3 linked regions of the Bombyx mori genome follow. The protein of the gene in region 1 purifies or fractionates together with the protein of each later gene. This does not show direct contact. Links are inferred from orthologs where the notes say so. Each region holds a gene or a part of one and is shown in the gene's direction. Other genes may lie near its edges. The genes, in order: Rack1, serine/threonine-protein kinase RIO3 and vigilin.

Region 1 (4,223 bases):
TAAGGTGTCTGCTCTACTTATCACCATATTAAGCGATGCGTACATGCTGTGGTGTTCAAAATTCCACAGGTAGTTACCCAAAAGTGGGCACTCGTTATGCAGAATTAAGACTTCGAAGACAAGTCGTCGTGATCTAAAGGATAAGACGTCCGGTGCATTCGCATCCAGCAATGCAACGGAGTTCGAATCCTGCAGGCAAGTACCAATTCTTGTAATGAAATATGTACTTCACAAATGTTCATGATCGACTTCCACGGTGAAGGAATAACATCGTTTAATGAATATCAATCCAGTAAAAATTGAAATTTGCATAATTACTGGTAGTAGGACGTCTTGTGAGAGCGCACGGGTAGGTACCAGCCTGGAGCGTACTCTGCCTATTTCTTCAGTTTGAATGGTGGGACAGCCGTTGTAACTATACTGAGACCTTAGAACCATATATGTATATATATACACATAGGGATGGGTATAAAGAAGTTTTACTTCTTTCGTGTGATAAAGCACGCTCGGTTTTTCGATAACCGTACTCGTCGAACTCGACAAAGAATTCGACTTGCAACCTAACCTAGGCATTAGCTCGCTGAGTTTCTCGCCGGATCTTCTCAGCGGGTCGCGATTCCGATCCGGTAGTAGATTTATTCGTGAAGCAGCTGTTCTTGAGTTTGTGGCGTTCAATAACGCACCTTTTTATGATGCGTACGCCAGAATGCACGAGAGGTAAAAGAATTTAGTCTGTGACACGGGACCTTTTTACCGCCGAAAATTTAAAACGTAAAAATAATTTATAATGTGTTTAATAACTAATGTAATATAATTACTTAGAATTGTTTATGTCGCTACAACAATAAAATTTATATTGTTTCAACTGTGGTGTTAATTATATAAAACACGACTTTACGGCGAAATAAAGAAGGGACTCTATATGAGCTCCCTCAAGTTGTTAGGTCTCCTTTGGAGGCGCTCGAGTAAATCCCACCCTTTCTGGCTGAGCCCTTGTTCGCCCACCTGCCCTGGTAAAACTGGAAAGGCCTCCGGGCCACCGGTAATTTCTCAAATATAAAAAATTGTTTTTTTTTTAAATCGTGCTTCACACTCGGCAGTAGTAGACAGATTTTTCGTTTCGATTTGTGGCTTCAATTTGTCTCGGACGCCGGCCATTTGCCCCAGCGAGTAGTAAATCAATTTCGAGATTTCCATTTAAAAATCACAAATTACCTTATAGTAATGGTCTCTTATTCAACTACGGGATTAATAATTTAGAAAATTGATTTCATAAATCATCGCGATGTTTTACAATCGATGTAGTCGACTAGGTCAACCCTGAAAAGTTGTCGCCTCTTTGACTCGACTGATTTGGGCATCTCTAGTTCGCGGTCGATGGTCGGCCATCACCGTAGGTTTCGTGTTCTTTTAACACGTGCTACCGGACCTGACGCTTCAGGGAGTCGTCGCTCTTCAAACCATTTTCAAAAATGTCTGAAACATTAAAACTCCGAGGAACTCTTAGAGGCCACAATGGCTGGGTTACTCAAATTGCAACTAATCCGAAATACCCGGACATGATCTTATCTTCCTCTCGAGGTAAGTTTGCTAATAAATCCAGATACATCTTTACAATCATTATCTCAATAACCGTGCAAATATGCAATAACCTGGGTTAAATACGTATCAGTTTTCTTGTATACTACCATTTACCAACAAAATAACATGATGAGTAAAACTTTGCCACGCGATTGTTGTGAGCGGCAAGCGGATATGGGGCTGAATATTTTGTTACTGTAGGATCCAATATACATATAGAAAATGAGACATTCGAATAAAATTTGAAATTTATCTTCAGACAAAACTCTCATCGTGTGGAAGCTGACCAGAGACGAAAACAACTACGGTATACCTCAAAAGCGTTTATACGGTCATTCGCACTTCATTTCTGATGTTGTGCTGTCTAGTGACGGTAATTACGCCCTTTCCGGTTCTTGGGACAAGACTTTGCGTTTGTGGGATCTCGCTGCAGGCAAGACTACCAGACGATTCGAGGACCATACTAAGGTGTGACAGAACTCTTAATTTTGTTAGGGTGTAAATGCTGATTATGCACTGAAGATAATCCTAAGTGCCTATGCGAGGCAGAAGACCAGTGTTTTGTGCCTTTGCGAGGCAGAAGATTGTGTTTGTGTTGTAAAAGTCTGAGGTAAGATGGTAGTATAATTATAGTATTGTAAATATACCGACCATCATACAACAGTCTGTTAACAATTCTAAGTGTAGTTGAATTGATAAGTTTTTTGTTTATATCACAGGATGTACTCTCGGTAGCCTTCTCAGTTGACAACCGTCAGATAGTGTCTGGTTCTCGCGACAAGACTATCAAACTCTGGAACACCCTTGCGGAGTGCAAGTATACCATCCAAGATGATGGACACAGCGATTGGGTGTCATGTGTCAGATTCTCACCCAATCATGCCAACCCCATTATTGTATCCTGTGGTTGGGACAGAACTGTCAAGGTTAGTGTACTATTTATGAAAAGGGTTATAAATTGCCTTGATTCCTTCAATGCTTAGATGTATCAAAAGTCTAATCTAGTTCGTTAATTATCGTTTAGCGTTCACAGCTGTTGAAAAATATATTAGGTACTTGTCTCATCCAAAAAAAAAGACTTCCTGAGGAATACCTAAAAGCTAATATACAAATCCTCATGAGCCTAATTATAGATTTTTCATAATTCAAATTTAAGTAAATATGAATGTTCAGCTTTATATTAAAGTTCTAACAAATAAAAAACTTATTCTAGGAATCTGTTTATATAAATCTTAATCAATGGTTTTTTTTGTGCACAGGTCTGGCATCTCACTAACTGTAAGCTCAAGATTAACCATTTGGGTCACTCTGGCTATCTGAACACTGTTACTGTATCACCTGATGGCTCTTTGTGTGCATCTGGTGGTAAGGATATGAAGGCGATGTTGTGGGATCTGAACGATGGCAAACACCTCCACACCTTAGACCACAATGATATCATCACGGCCTTGTGCTTCTCACCCAACAGATACTGGCTATGTGCTGCTTTCGGACCTTCCATCAAGATCTGGGTATGTATCGATTTAATTAATAACTAAAATTGAGTAAATATTTTCCATTAAGGTTCTATAATTCATAAGTGCCAACCATGCGTTGGAAGGTACCACAGTGATGCCCTCTAAGTAGATTGTCAACCTGGTGGATTCTGTCGAAAGTGATTGAAGGTGTAAATGGGGGTACTACTTATGCAAGCATATCTAGCTGTAAATGTCTTTTAGCTGTTAAAGATATATTTGGAAAATATAAATAACAAAAAATCACTTCTAAAAAAATACATATTATTAAACTGCTTTTTTACAGGATCTGGAAAGCAAGGAGATGGTTGAAGAGCTCAGGCCTGAAATCATTAACCAAACGCAAACTTCCAAGACAGACCCTCCTCAGTGTCTCTCCCTAGCATGGTCTACTGATGGACAAACCTTATTTGCTGGTTACTCAGATAATACTATAAGAGTGTGGCAGGTTTCCATCTCAGCTCGATAAGCTTAATTGTCAACATTAATTTCATTTATTTTTGTGTTCTTTACTCATTCCTTGGATGATTGACTCTAAGTGATTTTTCTACTTGTTCCAATTCTTGACGGTGTTGAATTATGTTAAGGATGAAAATAAATGAAATTGTGTAAATTTTCCAAACTAGCATTTTATTGATCTCCTTGTAAGTTTAAGATAAGAAATTGAATAGTGCCTATTTTAATGTATTGTTATGTAAATAAAATACGACCTTTTCGTACCCAAATGACTTTATTTATTATAATGTAAATTTACATACAAAAATACAAAAGGATAATGACAAAACCAACCCAACCTCAACCCCTGTAGTGAATCATAATTCTCTACAAAAATAGATTCTTTTTAAAGCTTCAGATTTAATAAATATGTTCAATGGAAAAGTAATTGAAATTATGGTTACAAACAGTATGCACTAATATATAAAAATAAATGTACACAATACAGTTAATTGGATCAAGATGTCACAGTTAACTGCAATTAGCTTAAAGGACTAGAGTAGCAGTGCCTTATTTACAACGCTTTCTGTCTGTAGACTAGCCACAGATTAGATGGTTAAAACAATGCAGCTGTGGTATGAAACCTAGCATTGATTCTTTCTCCACCTGAATTTTATTTCATATTAATAATTA
Region 2 (4,249 bases), about 1.7 Mb from region 1:
GATTGAAGTTGTTTTCTCAATTCATCATATTTTTCTTCGATATCTGAGTACATGCGGTAATAGTGATCGTTAGACCCCTTCAGCTGAAAGTCAATTTCCCAGTGCAGTTTGTCGATGGACTCCCACTTCGATTTTAAAATGTTAAAATTATCTTCCAGCTCCCACTTTTCACTAGTTCTAATGATGTCAATTTTAGACAATGCATGATAAATCGCATTAAAATTGCATTCTTGTTTATTTAAAAGTTGTTGTATTTTTTCAGATTTTCCGTCCTCGCAGTCTTGAGTGTAGTCAACAGAAATGTCACTTAAATCAAAATTCACACTATGTTTTTGCTGTTTCAAGTATTTAAGTCTGTTGTTTATGTCTGTTTTTGTTGCTAGATACATTTCTTTAGTTTTGTTGTAAACGTCTTCAGAGAAATAATGTATAGTTTTGTCTTCCAGTTCCAGTAGTAATAAGGCATTTCTCGCCTCGAAGTCTCTCCACTGTTCTTCCAAAGATGACAAACGTATGTTGAGGTACTCTTCAGTTTTTCGAGACGAAGAATCTTTGCGGTAGTTTGTACACAAAGTCTTGATATTCTCGAAACAAGTTGATTGAAGTTCAAGTTTATCCATGTTGATGTTATGAAATAATGTGATAGCTCACCAAACTTGGCACGTAGTTGACGGTGACAAGTACAGCTAGGCGTAGTTCACGACACGAAGATCCAATTTTGATAAATTGGTCGTATCCAAATCTCACTATGTTTATGCACTCTTACCCAGTGTGTGCGCCCTTGTCTCAATGCAGCTGGGGATTCTCGCTTGTGAGAGGCCAGCCGAACCGATTCGCCACTGTTGTAAGAGACACAAAAAACATGCGAGAATCCGGCTCGAAGGACCAAAAAAGATGTTGGGGTCCAAGGGGAAGTTTGTTGAGTTCCAAAGAGTTAGTGTGTTGTTTGAGCACCTTTATTATGTCGGTTAAGCACAGATGGTAACGTCTTAACGAGTGCGTGTTGCTAAGTGCACTGCCCTGATAATATAATAAAATAACCTGACACCACAATGACGACGCACGGCGTGTCCACGTATTATTTAGGTATGTGCAAACTGTACATCTTAGTTTGCTCATAGTCTGTTTCAGGTCTGGTTTGAAGCATAAGTAGGTACACTTATTAATTAAGGCCGTTTTCCAATTACAGCACAAGCGCGCATTATGCGTTTTCCAATTACAGAGCATAATGCGACTGTAAATTAACCATTACTTAATGGTAGTTTTCCAATTACAGAGCATAATGCGACTCAGTAACGCACAATGCCGAATTATGCTGAAGCTTAGTTGAGCATTATGCCACATAATGCGCTCTTGTGCTCTAATTGGAAAACAGCCTTAGTGTTTCAAATATGAAGTGTATTATAATAGGTATCTATGTTGTAGTGTATAATCTATGGTCTGCCTGTCTTCCACAGATTATACAGTTATTAATATCTGTCTTGAATTTGCTAAACATATGTGTAGGTACCTACATAATACTACATAATTTAAGAAATAAAATATTCTACAAGTTTATTTATAAATTGTTTAACATTGTTTTTTATTCTAATTAAAACAAGATAGTCATGTCGAATCCTTGGAAAAAAGTGACAGCACCAGTAGAGGCGCAGAAGCTGTCGGATATCATGTCTGAAGAATTTGCAAGAGACCTTCAGGTTAGAGAAGAGATAAAATTTGCAGAACATCTCTCTGAGCACCATGTCGGCACCTCTAATGAAGTTCCAGTTGAGTTGTTACAAGAAATAGAAAGCTGCAACGCAAAGGAATATTGTGACTCTGACGCGATTATTGCAAAAGTTTTGCAATGTCAGTTCGACAGAGAACACGATGACGAAATCAAACGCGTAGAGAAAAAACGTAATGGAGATGCTAAAGTATCCGTTTCCTATGATAATTACCGCAACGTACCATCGCATTTGATTTACGACTCTGAAGACGACGATGACTTTGAGGGCGATAAGAAAGACTGGGATCGCTTCGAAACAAACGAAAAGGAATTCGCAAGCCTTCCGAAACGCGGATTTATCATAAAAGATGGAGCAATGGTCACCAAACACGACAGTGTTATCACTGGAAGGCGGAATGCTTGTAAAGTTATGGCATTCCCTCCGGAAGTATGCACTGGAGATGGCGCTGGCTTCGATATGAAACTCTCCAATTCTGTATTTAATCATTTGAAAGAACAGACGAGATATCACAATACACGTAAACATAAAATGTTGGACAGAAAGGAGAGTCAAGCTACAGCCGAAATGGGCCTGGATGAGCCTACTAGATTGATACTATTCAAACTTATTAACAATGGGGTATTAGAGGATATCAATGGTGTCATCTCAACAGGAAAGGAGTCTGTTGTTCTACATGCTAATGGTGACACAACTTATCCTGACTTAGATGTACCTAGAGAATGTGCTATTAAAGTCTTCAAAACAACTCTTAACGAGTTCAAAACTCGAGACAAATACATAGAAGCCGATTATAGATTCAAAGATCGCTTCTCGAAACAAAATCCAAGAAAAATTGTACACATGTGGGCTGAGAAGGAGATGCACAACATGATGCGCTTGCAGAAGATAGGATTGAACTGTCCGGATATGATCTGCTTGAAGAAACATATACTTTTAATGTCATTTATTGGGAAGGATAACAAGCCAGCCCCCAAGCTAAGAGACATAATCTTAAGGTCAGATAAATGGCACAGTGTTTACAATGAGGTTGTGGAGAGTATGCATAAAATGTACAATGTTGGTCATCTGATTCATGCTGATCTATCAGAGTATAACATTCTCTGGTGGGATAATAAATGCTGGTTTATTGATGTTTCTCAGTCTGTGCAACCTGACCACCCTAACGGGTTGGAGTTTTTACTTCGAGATTGTCGTAATATTGTCAATGTGAGTATTACGTTTTCTATTAAGAAAGAAAGAAAGAAAGAAAATCTTTATTCGCCAGAAATATAGTTTACAAGATATAGGACATAGCTTCATATATTTCGCCTGTTTAGGCATGCGAAAATTTAATTTATTTTTATATTAATTATAACACAAAATTTACTAAATCTATCTATTTTTACATTAAATTTAAATTATTTAGGAGTAAAGCTGAATCATTTCTTTATAAATAAATAAAATGGTTTCAACTAAACAGGTTTCAAACTGCTTTATTAATTATATAATTAAAAATATAAATATACGTAGGCTTAAATATGTAATAATATAATTTAAAAAAGCCTCCTAGGCTTGAAGACTTCAGGATGAGGATTCTCAGTACTGGCCTTTTTTATAGTGCTAAATATGTAAGGAATAAAAATCTGACAGATACTTTTTCAATTGATCTTAAAACAATTTTATGAATTTCTCCTACGGTGAAGGCATAATATACCAGTATAAATAACATAGATATACACCAACATAGATAATTTATAAAAAGTAAATTGCTGTAATATCAACGGTAGGAAGCAGCTTGGCTCTGCCCCTGGCATTGCTGAAGCCCGTAGTAGTAGGTCGGTAACCACTCACCATCAGGTTAGCCGTATGCCAACAAGGTCAATAAAAAAATAAAACGGAGTCAGCCGTTATACAGCCAAATTGAGCACAACCTATTGTGTCAAGTTTGGTGGCTCCTTTTAACATCTAATTCTATTTTTGTTAATCTATTCAATAAATAACATCAAAGAAATCCAAAAAAAATGAGTTTACATAAAAACAATGTTCAAGTGGTGATGAAACAATTCAAGTGGTGATATTTTTCATACATTACTTATTTATAATGGTGTGTTGCTCAATTTCATAATTTTATGTATTCATTACCATTATTACAGCAGATATGCTTTATCTTCTATTACTTTAAGGGTTAAAGTGGTATAAAAATACTTTAAAATGTTTAATATTGTTTCTCATTACAGTTCTTTGAAAAAAAGGGGGTCTCACATGTGCAAACTGCAGAAGAACTTTTTAAATCAATAACCGGCTTTAATGAAGTTGATGTGAACTTATTGGAAGGAGTTCATACCACATACAATTCTCTGGCATGCCGATTTGAAATCGCCCCCGATGATAATCGAAACGTTAGCTATCCATTTGAATATTGTTGGCAGAAAACCAATGAAGAGAAAGCTAAAAGTGATAAAAGTGATGATAATGAAGAAGATGAATTTGAGGAAATGTGGAATCATGCTGCCAAAAGTAAAACTGTTGATAGTGCTGCC
Region 3 (3,654 bases), on another chromosome or scaffold:
TGATTTGGTTCTTCACTGCACCTCTAAAAGTAAATTGATATTACACATCAATGCTCTTTTTGACTGTTCCAATAGATCGTTACATAAATTAATTATTTTACATAACAATATTTTGTTAAATGGCTTGCTATAACTAGCAATTTTTTAAATTGATGTCAGAAACACCTTTTTTGATAACCATGGTCAACAGCATGGTTAAAAACAATGGTTATGGTCAAAAGCCATGATAATTTTTTTAACAAATCATTATTAAGCTTGAAGATTAAAACTTTCGTTGTGGAAAAAATCAGGCTTTTACCTTCGGAATTGTTATTTACTCACATAAAGTTATGGATATTTTTTTTCAAAAGTATTTGATATTTAATACCAATCGAAATATGCATCCATGGGATCTGCCAGCGCAGTGGTAAGTTACCAATGCCCTTCGATAAAAAAGTCGGGTGTACTGAGCTAACAAACTCTTCAAAGACATTTGCACTGCTTCTCGGGTATTGATTTTTCCCTGTCAAGAAGTTGTCCAAACTTTAGAAAAAGCAGAAGTCTGTCGGCGAAAACCTGGTGAGAACAGTGGACAACGCAAAACTTCCGATCCTCCTGTAGCTTCTGTTGTCAGTTGTCTCGTATGAAGTCAAACGTTGTATAGCACTGGGAACCAGCGATTAACTACGACTGGCCGGATATTGGCGAGCTTCTTCATCATCGTATTTTTTTATTGTATAGATGGGTGTATGAGCTCACAGCCCACCTGGTGTTAAGTGGTTACTGGAGTCCATAGACATCTATAACGTAAATGCCGCCACCCACCTTGAGAAATGTGTTCTAAGGTCTCAGTATAGTTACAGTTACAACGGCTGCCCCACCCTTCAAACCGAAACGCATTACTGCTTCACGGCTGAGATAGGCAGGGTGGTGGTACCTACTCGTGTGGACTCATAAGAGGTCCTACTACCAGTAATTACGCAAATTATAATTTTACGGGTTTGATTTTTATTACACGATGCTATTCCCTCACCGTGAGAGTCAATCGTGAACATTTGATAAGTACGTATTTCATTAGAAAAATTAGTACCCGCTTGCGGGATTCGAACACCATTGCGTCGCAAGATAAGAATGCACCAGACAAACGTCTTATCCTTTACTTGAACCAGTCCAGTTTCTCCACAATACACATTCGTAGTAATGCCAGTGCAATTTGTTCATAAGCTGTGATAAGTTAATCGGGCACTAAACCACCAATGACTATAAACTTTTTTGGGATATGTTCTCGTTTGAGGCCTCGGGTGCTGAACCAGGTTCTAACCAACATGACGATTATTAAAAAATCATTTTTCAACGCAAGTGACAGTGCGATTCAAAATCAACGCGAGGCATAGCTTATGCCGTTCGTCGCGCTGGCGATCGTTCAGTTCGTGCAGTAGTTGCAGTACCCACTTAACAAATGTTTACTTTGCCTCTTTAACGCAAATGGATCGATATAGTTTTGATGCTAACTATGAAAGCTGCTGCTAACTCAACGGTAGATTGAGTGAGTATCGTCAGCTTCCACTATCGCCTTTAATTCGACGTTGTTGACTTTGGTTTTCAGGAGACCACGGGGCTCTTTTCTAAAATCAATATTTCCGAGTCAGAAATGTTCAAATCAATGACTTCATTTCGTACATGTCATATTAAACTTAAGATTCGTTTGTACGTTATTGCTACCGCGACGTAACTCGTATTCCATAATTGCTGATATTTTAGTGTCCAAATTGATGAAAAAAATCGAAATGTAAGGAAAAGAAAATACTAATCAATAAACAAATTACTGAATTTGAAAATAGAATTCCATATTTTTAATAATTTCATTCGAATTTAGATTATTTTCCGGTCATACATAAAATAGATTTCAAATTGTATTGTAAAACGGATACTTCATAGGTAAAGATCTATTATAAATATCTATGCTAAATCTTAAACTAGGTACCTATTGAGAATGCATATTTCAATAGTTACCTACATAATTATGATTGATATGTAATTTTACCTAAAGTAGCATTTTTATCAGATAAGACTTAGGAATAATTCTTAATTAATAAACTTCATTCTTATTTAAAACCGAATACATCAATAAAAGTGAAATTAAGTTAATTAGATAATTTTCCATAAGGTTTTCCATGTGCCATATGAAGAACGAAAACTTGACAATGCTAATACTTTTGGTGAGGGAGAATCCTTAAGAACTTGCCATTCCATAACTAAGGATACAGGAGCGCACATCGAAATATCTACCAGCAAAGATGGCAGTCTAACTTTCCTTATCACTGGAAAGCAGAGCGCTGTTCTCGAAGCGCGGCGACAAATTTTGACCCATTTTCAGCAACAGGTAAAAAGAGATGTGAAATTATAAGTAAAAATTAACATTTGGTGTATTTACAATATTTTATGAGCTTATAAAATTTCAGGCCAGTAAACAAATCTCAATCCCTAAGGAGCATTATCGTTGGATCTTAGGAAAACAGGGACAGAAACTAAAAGAACTCGAAAAGGTCACTGCAACTAAGATTAATGTGCCAGGAATTTCAGACAATAGTGAAATAATAACTATTACTGGCACAAAAGAAGGGATAGAAAAAGCTGAACATGAAATCAGGGTGTGTTCTGAGGAACAGGTAAAATATATAAACTTTCTGTTTGTCTGTTAAGTATCAAAATATCAAATAAAGACCAAAGTTCAACACTGACATTGGGTTTTCAGTCACGAAAGGCTTTAGAACGTGTCGTAGTACCGAAAATTTACCATCCATTCATCCAAGGGCCGTACGGTGAAAGAGCAGCAGCGCTAAGTGCCGAAACTGGTGCCAGAATCCACATTCCTCCTGCTTCTACTCAAAGTGATGAGATTGTTATAGCTGGGGAAAAAAATGGTGTGCTGGCTGCAAAGGCTCAAATCGAGCAAATACATGAAGAAATGGTAATAAACATAATATATAAAACACAATATGTACACTATTTTATGCAATGTAACATTAAACAACTTATAATCCATCAGGTAAAAAAATGTGCAACTGTTCGGGTAGAAGTGCCCAAGTCTCAACATAAGTATGTAATTGGAGCTCGTGGTACTACAATCCAGGAAATTCTTAAGGAGACTGGTGTCTCTGTTGAAATGCCTCCAACGGATTCTCCTACAGGCACCATCACCCTTCATGGACCTCATAATAAAATTGGCCTTGGTATGTAGAATAACAACTACATTTTTTTTTTTATTAATGTAGATAGAGTGAAGTTAACAAAAATATGTTGGTATTATATGGCTTCTGGTGTTCATAGCCAAAGTCACAACTTTATTTTAAGTTATTTAAGAGCAAAATAAGTTGTATTTCTTGTATTCAGACATTATATTCCTTACATGTTTTAGCTCTATCAAAGGTTTGTGAGAAAGCAAATTCTGTAAAAACGGCTACTGTTGATGCTCCCACTTGGATCCACAAATACATCATCGGCAAGAACGGCTCTAATATTAAAAAGATTACTCAGGACTTTTCAAAGGTATTCACAGTGTGTATAATATAGTCACATTAATGCAATAGCAAAAATTTTGTTCAAAAGTTCCGTATGCTTGTTTGGTATGCTTTTTTGATAACAGTAATTAGAAACATCAAAATTAAGACGAAA

Evidence for each region.
Region 2: the proteins of Rack1 (region 1) and serine/threonine-protein kinase RIO3 purify together in Homo sapiens (affinity purification with mass spectrometry; 3 studies listed by BioGRID and IntAct, counting the BioPlex papers as one, with this or other methods). This does not show direct contact. The link is inferred for Bombyx mori from reciprocal best matches to the Homo sapiens genes RACK1 and RIOK3.
Region 3: the proteins of Rack1 (region 1) and vigilin purify together in Homo sapiens (affinity purification with mass spectrometry; 3 studies listed by BioGRID and IntAct, with this or other methods). This does not show direct contact. The link is inferred for Bombyx mori from reciprocal best matches to the Homo sapiens genes RACK1 and HDLBP.

What each region holds. Positions count from the first base shown.
Region 1 is NC_085109.1:3,348,167-3,352,389, forward strand, and holds Rack1 (receptor for activated protein kinase C RACK 1), read left to right. Parts: upstream 1-1,397; 5' UTR 1,398-1,472; coding exon 1,473-1,581; intron 1,582-1,840; coding exon 1,841-2,049; coding exon of another isoform or gene 2,050-2,055; exon of another isoform or gene 2,056-2,191; intron 2,192-2,300; coding exon 2,301-2,507; intron 2,508-2,840; coding exon 2,841-3,092; intron 3,093-3,381; coding exon 3,382-3,564; 3' UTR 3,565-3,714; downstream 3,715-4,223. UniProt on the Homo sapiens protein: Scaffolding protein involved in the recruitment, assembly and/or regulation of a variety of signaling molecules. Interacts with a wide variety of proteins and plays a role in many cellular processes.
Region 2 is NC_085109.1:1,624,769-1,629,017, forward strand, and holds the start of serine/threonine-protein kinase RIO3, read left to right. Parts: upstream 1-1,420; 5' UTR 1,421-1,607; coding exon 1,608-2,936; intron 2,937-2,968; exon of another isoform or gene 2,969-3,946; coding exon 3,947-4,249.
Region 3 is NC_085116.1:8,390,265-8,393,918, reverse strand, and holds part of vigilin, read left to right. Parts: intron 1-2,146; coding exon 2,147-2,362; intron 2,363-2,441; coding exon 2,442-2,648; intron 2,649-2,734; coding exon 2,735-2,950; intron 2,951-3,028; coding exon 3,029-3,212; intron 3,213-3,397; coding exon 3,398-3,528; intron 3,529-3,654. UniProt on the Homo sapiens protein: Appears to play a role in cell sterol metabolism. It may function to protect cells from over-accumulation of cholesterol.